Linked DNA regions of Macaca mulatta. The protein of the gene in region 1 interacts with the protein of each later gene in a biochemical or structural test. Links are inferred from orthologs where the notes say so. Each region holds a gene or a part of one and is shown on either strand. Other genes may lie near its edges.

Evidence for each region. The genes of interacting proteins can lie anywhere in the genome.
Region 2: the proteins of COX4I2 (region 1) and CYCS form a complex in vitro, tested with the Homo sapiens proteins (4 studies listed by BioGRID). The link is inferred for Macaca mulatta from reciprocal best matches to the Homo sapiens genes COX4I2 and CYCS.

The regions. Positions count from the first base shown.
Region 1 is NC_133415.1:84,453,929-84,458,876, forward strand, and holds the start of COX4I2 (cytochrome c oxidase subunit 4 isoform 2, mitochondrial), read left to right. Parts: upstream 1-1,790; 5' UTR 1,791-1,835; intron 1,836-2,883; coding exon 2,884-2,965; intron 2,966-4,102; coding exon 4,103-4,267; intron 4,268-4,948. UniProt on the Homo sapiens protein: Component of the cytochrome c oxidase, the last enzyme in the mitochondrial electron transport chain which drives oxidative phosphorylation.
Region 2 is NC_133408.1:103,267,801-103,272,803, forward strand, and holds CYCS (cytochrome c), read left to right. Parts: upstream 1-1,558; 5' UTR 1,559-1,821; intron 1,822-2,691; 5' UTR 2,692-2,699; coding exon 2,700-2,868; intron 2,869-2,973; coding exon 2,974-3,122; 3' UTR 3,123-3,990; downstream 3,991-5,003. UniProt on the Homo sapiens protein: Electron carrier protein. The oxidized form of the cytochrome c heme group can accept an electron from the heme group of the cytochrome c1 subunit of cytochrome reductase.

The sequences.
Region 1 (4,948 bases):
ACCTCCACCTCGGCCTCCCTAGTAGCTGGGACTACAGGCATATGCCATGATGCTTGGCTAATTTTTGTATTTTTAGTAGAGATAGGTTTTATTTTATTTTATATATATATATATATATTTATTTATTTATTTATTTATTTTTGAGATGGAGTCTTGCTCTGTCGCCCAGGCTGGAGTGCGGTGGCTCGATCTCGGCTCACTGCAACCTCCGCCTCCCGGGTTCACGCCATTCTCCTGCCTCAGCCTCCCAAGTAGCTGGGAATACAGGCGCCTGCCACCATGCCCGGCTAATTTTTTATGTTTTTAGTAGAGACGGAGTTTCACCATGTTAGCCAGGATGGTCTTGATCTCCTGACGTTGTGTGTGATCCGCCTACCTCGGCCTCCTGAAGTGCTGGGATTACAGGCATGAGCCACCACGCCCAGCAAGATAGGTTTTCTTCATATTGGCCAGGCTAGTCTCGAACTTCTGACCTCAAGTGATCTGCCCGCCTTGGCCTCCCAAAGTACTGAGATTACAGGCGTGAGCCACCACACCTGGCCAGTCTTTAGAGACTGTCTGGAGCAGGCCGCTATGGCCTCGTTAGGGTATAGGAACCCTGATGGAAGGCATGGGGGCTGGGCATACCTCAGGGACCTAGAGCAGGGAGACCTGGAAAGCTCTTGTCTCCAGGCCACCGAGGGGACCCCCAGCCCTCGCCCATTCATCTGCCATCCATATACTGACAGTCCCGGGACACATTTACTGAACTCGTGCTCTGCTCCATTCGAACACATCACTCCTTTTCTTAACTTTGGTTGCCTCCCACCTTCTTTTTATTTTATTTTATTTTATTTATTTATTGAGACAGGGTCTCATTCTGTTGCCCAGGTTGGAGAGCAGTGGTGTGATCTCAGCTCACTGCAACCTCCACCTCCCACCCCAGCCTCCTGAGTAGCTGGGACTACACAGGTGTGCCACCACACCAGTTTAATCACCTTCTTTAAATAAAATCCAAGCTCCTTACCATGACCTACAGGTCCTTCTTGGTGGTCCAGCCCACCTCTCCCTCCATCCAGCCTCCCCTTTAACCATGACACTCTGGCCAAGATGACCTCTCTTCTTTTATTGTTGGTTTTGTTGTTGTTTTGAGATGGAGTTTTACTCTTGTTGCCCAGGCTGGAGTGCAATGGTGGGATCTCGGCTCACTGCAACCTCTGCCTCCCGGGTTTGAGCGATTCTCCTGCCTCAGCCTCCCGAGTAGCTGGGACTACAGGCGCCGCCACCACACCCGGCTAATTTTTGTATTTTTAGTAGAGATGGGGTTTTGCCACGTTGGCCAGGGTGGTCTCGAACTCCTGACCTTAGGTGATCCGCCCGCCTCGGCCTCCCAAAGTGCTGGGATTACAGGCGTGAGCCACAACGCTTGGCCTAAAAGATGTTTCTGGAGTAGGAGGCTTTGGGCCTAGCTGAAAGGTTTGTGTCTTCAAAGGCCTGAAGAGAACATCCCAGGTGGGAGAAACAGCAAGGAGGGAACGTGTGGAGGAGGCAGGGAGACCCTGCTCTTGGGACTACTGTCTGCAGAGGGTCTCCAGAGGCAGGACCCCAGGGGTAGGGACACTGATGCAGGAGTCGCTCTGCAGTCCCTCCCCCCAAGCTGTGGGCCGGGGTGCCCCCAGGGACGCGGGCTGTGCGCTCCCACGCCCAGCCGAAGCAGGACGTTCCCACGCGGGGGCGGCCCTGAAAGGCTGTGGGGCGGGCCGGGGGCGGGCGCCCGCGCTCAGGTCCCTCCGCAGCGGGTTCTCAGTTGCTCTCTGGGCAGACCCAGGTCGCACTCCCGCTGCCGAGCCCGCGAGGTGAGTGAGTTGGCGGAGGACCCCGCAACCCAAGCCCGCGCGTCAGGGGCGCGGCTCGGTCTCCTGCCTTCGCCGCTGGGTCGCGCCCCGAGTGGTCCCTGTCTTAGAGGGTTGGGGGGCTTCATGCAGGTTAGAGTTGAGGGTTCCTGGGGAGCCCTCTGTCTGCATATGTATGCCATCTTTTTCCCCAAATACAGATTACACCCTCCCTCTCTGGATATGTGGAGCTCTCCCACCCACTAATCATAATCACTGGCTGGAGCTCCTCTTTTCTAGAAGTGCGGGCCGCCCCCTCCCACTTATCACCTGTAATGTGCCCCCTCCCTCACTCTATTTGTTGGGTGTCCCTCTCTCCCCCTAGATGTGGGATCCCCTTCTTTTCCCCAGATGTGTGTCTCCCTCCCTCTGACCCAGTTGAGTCCCTATCCTCTAAAGCCCCTCCCCACCCCCATGGATGCCAAACCCTGAGTCTTCCCTGGGGGTGGGGGACTGGGCTTAGCCGGTCTGGCTGAGCCCAGTCCCCCACCCCCAACCAGATCCAGCAGAGCAGGGCTGTGTGCACGTAGGCGGCCAATTATGGGGGAAGAGGTGGGGGCCAGACGGTCTGTCTGTTCTGCCTGTGCTGGGCAGGGAAGAGAGCCTGGGGACCTGCTCCCTCTCAACCTGGACCCCACCCAGCTTCCTCTGGGGAGCAAACAACTGAGCAGAGTTCTCTAGTCTGGCCAGACTGAGCTGGGGCTGGCACTAGAACCCAAGCCCTCAGCCTCAAACTCTTCAGACCCTGGCCCAAGACTTAGGCCTCCTCCCACTTCTCAGATGGTGAATTGAGGTCCCAAGAAGGGGCTCCAAAGGTCTAGGACCCCCATTGCCCCCCCTTCCCAGGGATATCAGACAAAATTAGAAGGGTCAAGGGCATGAGGGCGACCTTGAAACCCTGGGATCCCTACCACTACCATACCAGTGGAAAAGGGTTTCTCCGTCTGGCCCTAAGGTTTGGGGGCAGAGGGTGATGTGGGGGCAGAACTCATCTATACCTCCACGCCCCCAGATGCTGCCCAAAGCTGCCTGGAGCTTGGTGCTGAGGAAAGGTGGACGTGGAAGACGAGGGATGCACAGCTCAGAAGGCACCGGTGAGACCTGGAGTCCTTCCTCCCAGCCTAACTCCAGAGATAGGGGCAGGGGTCCCCTCTGCCCCCTTTGCCCTTCCATGCCACCCTGGGCCTGTTCCTACCACACTTCCTATGATCCCACTCCTTGGTCCCAGGCCAAGTTTCTCCAGGAAATGGAGTCCGTGGGGTGAGCAGACAGTGGCCATCTCCATTCCAAGCTTCCTTAGGAGCCCGCCCCCAAGCCTCAGGTCCCTAGGTCTTTTTTTTTTTTTTTTTTTTTTTTTTGAGACGGGGTCTCGCTCTGTTACCCAGGCTGGAGCATAGTGGCCGGATCTCAGCTCACTGCAAGCTCCGCCTCCCGGGTTCACGCCATTCTCCTGCCTCAGCCTCCCGAGTAGCTGGGACTACAGGCGCCCGCCACCTCGCCCGGCTAGTTTTTTGTATTTTTTAGTAGAGACGGGGTTTCACCGGGTTCGCCAGGATGGTCTCGATCTCCTGACCTTGTGATCTGCCCATCTCGGCCTCCCAAAGTGCTGGGATTACAGGCTTGAGCCACCGCGCCCGGCCTCCCTAGGTCTTTTGTCCTGAGGTGGAGGATGCTGACAGAACCTTGGACCCTGATTCCTCCTTTCCAGACCCCAGTTTGAATGCTAGTAAGAAGAAAGAGACCTAAAGCAGGAGAGACTTCAGCCAGATAGCAGAAGGGCCTTGCTGACCCATGGAGAATAACAAAGAAACATTTATTGAGCCCTTGCTAGTACCCCAAGCTATTATAAACCTTTTTTTTTTTTTTTTTTTTGAGACAGAGTCTTGCTCTGTCGCTGAGGCTAGAGTGTTCAGTGGCGTGATCTCAGCTCACTGCAACCTCCGCCTCCTGGGTTCAAACGATTCTTCTGACTCAGCCTCCCGAGTAGTTGGGATTATAGGTGCCCACCACTGCGCCTGGCTAATTTTTGTATTTTTAGTAGAGGCGGGGTTTCACCATCTTGGCCAGGCTGGTCTCGAACTCCTGACCTTGCAATCCACCCGCCTCGGCCTCCCAAAGTGCTGGGATTACAGGCGTGAGCCGCCAAGCCCAGCCACTTTCTTTATTAATATAGTTAGAGATAGGGTGTCCAAGGGGCAGCCTGGACTCAGCTCCCTCCATTGTGTCTGCAGCCCGTGGTGGGGGGAAGACGCCCCGCTACACCAACTGCTATGCCCAGCGCCACTACCCCATGCCAGAAGAGCCCTTCTGCACAGAACTCAACGCTGAGCAGCAGGCCCTGAAGGAGAAAGAGAAGGGAAGCTGGACCCTGCTGACCCACGCCGAAAAGGTGGCCCGTAGGTGTCAGGGTGGGGCTGGCTGGAGAGAGTGGGTTGGGGCCTAACTTTGGAAAGAAGGGCCTATCAGGGATCAGAGGGCAGAGAGAGGCCCCCAAGACAGCCAGAAACCTCCAAACACCTGAGGGGTGAAGTTTATGCCTTTGTTCGTTTCTTTATTCACTCACCTATTTGTGCATAGCCTGATGTTAGGCAATGCTGGGGACAAGAGGTGAATCACCTGGATAGTTCCTGTCCCCATGGTGCTCCCAGTCCCGTGGGGAAAACCAGTACAGACCCCAAAAATTGTAATACAGAATATGTGACTAGGGTGAGGTGTGTTCAAGGACTGTGAGATGAAATCTTGGTGGACCTCCCAGAGGAGGGCACATTCCAGCTCGCCTTTAAGGGTGAAGAGGAGGGCACTGCCAGGGAGTGGGAACTGCATAGGGAAGGGTGTCCAGAGCAGGAGACTGTGGAGGCTCCTGGAATTGAGTGATGTGGGAGAGATGGAACAGAGAGAGGCAGGTGAGGTGGTTGGGGAGGAGCCCTCTGACCCTGGGAGACTGGAGGGATGTGTGGTCCCTTGTCATGTCCACCAGAGCATCCCTGAGCTGACCCTTTGATATTTGGAGCACCTTATTCTCATTCCATGAATGGGAACACTCAGCCTGACTTCCAAGATTTCAAAGGATTCCTAGT
Region 2 (5,003 bases), on another chromosome or scaffold:
AGAATGTAAGCTCCACCAGAAAGAGTCCTCACTGATTTATAATACTCCAGGTACCTAGAAAAATACCTGGCACATAACATGCATTCGATAAACACTTTTTTTTTTTTTTTTTTTTTTGAGAAAGTCTCACTCTGTCACCCAGGCTGGAGTGCAGTGGCACGATTTCGGCTCACTGCAGCCTCTGCCTCCCAGGTTCAAGCGATTCTCCTGTCTCAGCCTCCTGAGTAGCTGGAATTATAGGCGCGCGCCACAACGCACGGCTAATTTTTGTATTTTTAGTAGACACGGGGTTTCGTCATGTTGGTCAGGCGGGTCTCGAACCCCTGACCTCAGTGATACACCCGCCTCGGCCTCCCAAAGTGCTGGGATTACAGGCGTGAACCACCTCGCCCGGCCAATAAACACCTGACTTAATACGGCAGTGCCAGACAGAATACAAGGAGAGAGAAGAAAAAACAAACAAACAAACAAAAAAAACAAGAAAGATGGAAAAATTAATCAGAACTTGGGACCAGAATTTGAGGGGTAAAGGAGTCAAGAAAACCAGTGACAGAACTAGGCATGTCAGGAAGGGGATCTAGTTTTAAAGGATGGCTATGATAACTAAAAGCTGGGTATTAACGCCTTTATTTCCAATATGATCTTAACTGCATTAAGTTTACTTGAACATGACCTTTACCTAGGTAAGAAGGGATGCAAATCCTCTAGATTTCCAATAATTCTCTAATCATCTAAAAATGTTTCTTCCTAGATGTTGCCAGCACACATTCTGTGTTCTTTCGGCACACGAACGCGAGGGGGAGGAGGGCGTTAGCAGAAAAGACGCTGACAGGTAAGGGGTCAGAGGGATAATCCTGTTCTGCCGCAAATGCAGCACGTTCCTCAGTCTTGGGGCGTCCATCAAGCGGAGAGCTGGAAGATGACTGAAAGTAACGGAGTAGAGGTGGAACTAGAACAAGGTCACGAGCTGCTGCCCAACTCGTGTAACTCCTGGTTCCAGGCTGTCCCTCTAGGATGCTGCTGGCGCCAGCCAAGGGAGCAGGACAGAGTCTGGGTAAAGGTCGCCAGCTGACAAGATGGTAGCTAGGAGACCTCTAGGTGCGCCAAAACTAAGGCGTCTTTTCCTGGACGGGCAGAACGCCCTGCTCAAAGATCATTACATCACCACGCCCAAGAACTGATACTTTAGCAGGGCAACGCGCCAACAAGGCGACTCCGCCCCACCCTCCCCGTTCCTCCAGCACACGCAAGCGCACAGAGGCCCGCGGGTGACATCACCCCTCCCGACACCACCTCGTTGTCGTACGACCAAAGGCCTGTCGTAACGGCCGGGCAAGAAAGGCCTCGAGAGGAAGGGCACGCACGCCGCACACCCTAACATGCTCGCCTGCATGCGCGCGCAGGTCCTTTGCGCAGGCATTGGGACTAGAGCCAATGAGGTGCGGCGACGTTACTGCGTAGCCGCCAGCTCGGCCGCACGTCAGGGCGCGGGAGCGCGGAGCGAGTTTGGTTGCACTTACACCGGTACTTAAGCGCGAACCGGCGTGTCCTTGGACTTAGAGAGTGGGGACGTCCTGCTTTGGAGCGGGAATATTCGTTGCGCCAGCGACTAAAAACAGGTGAGAGCGGGTCGCGGAAGCCGCACCTGGTTAGAGGCAGAGCTGTGGGCGGCGCGCACTCGCGAGCGACCGAGACCCAGGCGTGGAGCCTCCGAGTGGAGCCCGCGCTGCGTGGGAGGGCCGGGAGTGAGGACCCGGGACTGTGGTCAGACCGAACCGGGCGAGTAACCGCTTGAGGTGCGGCGGCCCTAACTAGGGACAGGTATGGTCTCAGTCAGGGACTAGAGGAGGCTTAGATACAGATCCGAGGAAGACGCGGCCCCTTTCGTAGTGGTTGCTGAGGGGCTATGGAAATGATAGGCAAGACTTCCCACCCGGAAAGCCGAAGCTTAGCACTTCACGTTCTCCTTCAGAGGGCAAAAGCTGTTGCTCTTCTAATAAGGGGCCATTTCTTTACGTGGGCACGTTTCTTCCGTCAGTCGTTCTGACATCCTAGAAACAGTTTCATCAGTCACCTTGAAACCGACCTGGATGGGTGACCTCATGTTCGCCCCGGGGGATCACAGGTAGGAGAGTGGGGATGTCCTGCGGGGACCGTGCAGCCTGCCCCTGCGTTCCCATTTACAAGTTCGAGTGTCAGGCTACTTCTGTGACCTGGGCAGGTAGAAACAGCCAGTACCGCTTTTTAAATATTTGTGTGCTTTGCAATATCCTCAGGAAGAGGTAGCTTTACATGGTAGTAAGATTAAATGACTAGGCCTTCTTAAAAATTGAAATTGTGGTGATTTTGGCTTAATGTGATCGCCCTTCAGCGTCAGATCTGTGGCTTAGTGACCATGATTTTCTCTTCTGAAACTGGAGTTTGAATTAGGTTCCCTCTTTGCTTGCTTGGGCTTTAACGTTCCTTCACGTGTACACACGAAAATAGGTTTTTGAGGAGGTGCTCCTAAAAAATGTTTTTGGTATTAAAGAGTATTTGGTATAAAGAGTATTAAAGCAATACAAGATTAATTCTGGTATTTAATGACATAAATTACCAATGGATTGGTAATTAAGTGGCTAGAGTGGTCATTCATTTACACTGTATTTGTTACCTGAGGAAAAATTACTAAGTTGGGGCTTTCGTTTTTAGAATTAAATATGGGTGATGTTGAGAAAGGCAAGAAGATTTTTATTATGAAGTGTTCCCAGTGCCACACCGTTGAAAAGGGAGGCAAGCACAAGACTGGGCCAAATCTCCATGGTCTCTTCGGGCGGAAGACAGGTCAGGCCCCTGGATACTCTTACACAGCCGCCAATAAGAACAAAGGTAAGAGCCACTTGTTAAATAAAACAGTACAAAACGCACGAATATCACCTGTGACACACTATGAGGAGTGTGAAATACTTAACCGATGCATTCTTTCTTGTTTAGGCATCACCTGGGGAGAGGATACACTGATGGAGTATTTGGAGAATCCCAAGAAGTACATCCCTGGAACAAAAATGATCTTTGTCGGCATTAAGAAGAAGGAAGAAAGGGCAGACTTGATAGCTTATCTCAAAAAAGCTACTAATGAGTAATAATTGGCCACTGCCTTATTTATTACAAAACAAATGTCTCATGACTTTTTTATGTGTACCATACTTTAATAGATCTCATACACCAGAATTCAGATCATGAATGACTGACAGAATATTTTGTTGGGCAGTCCTGATTTAAAACTAAGACTGGCTTGTGGTTAAATGAATATGTTCCGTTTTTGAATTTTAATAGTAATTCCAATTCAGTAAATGCTATCACTGTTTACCCCTTCTAAAGATATGATTAGACTTTGTTAGTAATGTTCAACTTTTCGCAAAGATGGTGAGTGCCATCTTAAAACTTACTGGAGATTGGTTTTATATTTAGATTTATATAGCTGGTTATGTGAATATATTTAAATACTGGGGAAATTCCTTCACTGTCTCAGAACTAAGCAAGATTCACCTGTGTTTTGTGTTCATTTGCCTCTTAAAGGCAAGGGTTGAAGATAAATAAGGTAGCAATGTCTAGAGTTTTGGCCTTAACGATGCCAATCTAATTATAATTCCCTGTATTTAAAATGGTTCCTTTTACTTATTGAAGAGCATTTTAGTATGGTTTATGTGTAATATTAAAGATTATTCAACACTTCTCACATCTTACAAATCTATAAGGTCACATGCTTTTAAAATAGTAGCAAGTTAAACTTCACTCTTGAATTCTTTACAATCTAAGTCAAACTAAGTTATAATTTAGGATTGTCTTTAAACAGCCATTCAGAAACATAAAACTGTAGAACTGTGTATTTGTGATTGGGAATGGTGCTTTTGCCAACTTAAAAGGATTAAAGTAGCGGAGATATACACAAATTTTAAAATGTGTGATCGCAAGACTAAAGATAATTAAAAAGAAAACCACAGATCATGATTTTTTGACTGTGCTTGATTTCATGACTGATGCAGAAACTTTAATGATTAAAAAGTGCAGGAGCCCTAAATATCAGTGCAGCAGCATTAACCAGTCATGGTGCTAGATTGTTTACTTGGTTTTCTAGGACTGCCTGAACTAGAATAACACTTCACTAATTGACTCTTAGTTTCTTTGCCCAGATTGAGAACTGCAGCATTTATGCCAGACATGGACAGACAAATGCTTCTGGTCATAGTTTTCTGATGTGTAACAGTGTAATTACATACTGAATTATTTCATGCGTAGTCTGTGCCATACACATTTAGAATAGTCCTTGGAGATTTTATGGAGATGGTGAGCACAAGGTAAGACATAAAGAATGATGAGAAAATAAATCTGTGCTGGCGAGCTGAGAGCTGTATCTTTGTGGGACAGTGAGAAGACTGGGAAGATGTAAATCCATAGTCTCAAAGGTGATAGGGATGATTAGATAGGTGTTTAAGGCCTGAAAGCAATTTATAACATGTGAGTCTTATTTTTATTTGTAGAAGAAATGTGGAAAGCTTGCTGTAATTCATATTTGAAATCCTAGTCTGAGTTATGGTGGGGAATTTAAAGATGCATCCTGGAAATACTTTTAAGATTTCAGCCTTTAAAAGGCCTTGTAGCAGAGGACTTGGTGACTGCATAAAGTTAGTGGTATTCAGGGACAGTGTAGCAATTAACTTACAAGGGGACAATCCTGGACTAATGTGAAAGACCTAAAGTAAAGGCTAGAGAGTTGATTTTCTTTTTTTTTTTTTTTTTTTTTTTTTGGCATTCTGGAAATGATACAGGAAACAAACATATTAAGGTAGATACAGAAATACAGAAATGTGTTCAACCTTTCATCTCGGCTAGTTGTGAGGTTTTGTTTGTTTTTTGAGACATGGTCACACTATCGCCAAGGCTGGGGTACAGTGGCGTGCTCTTGGCTGGCTGCAACCTCCACTTCCCAGACTCAAGAGATTTCTCCCACTTAAGCTTCCCAA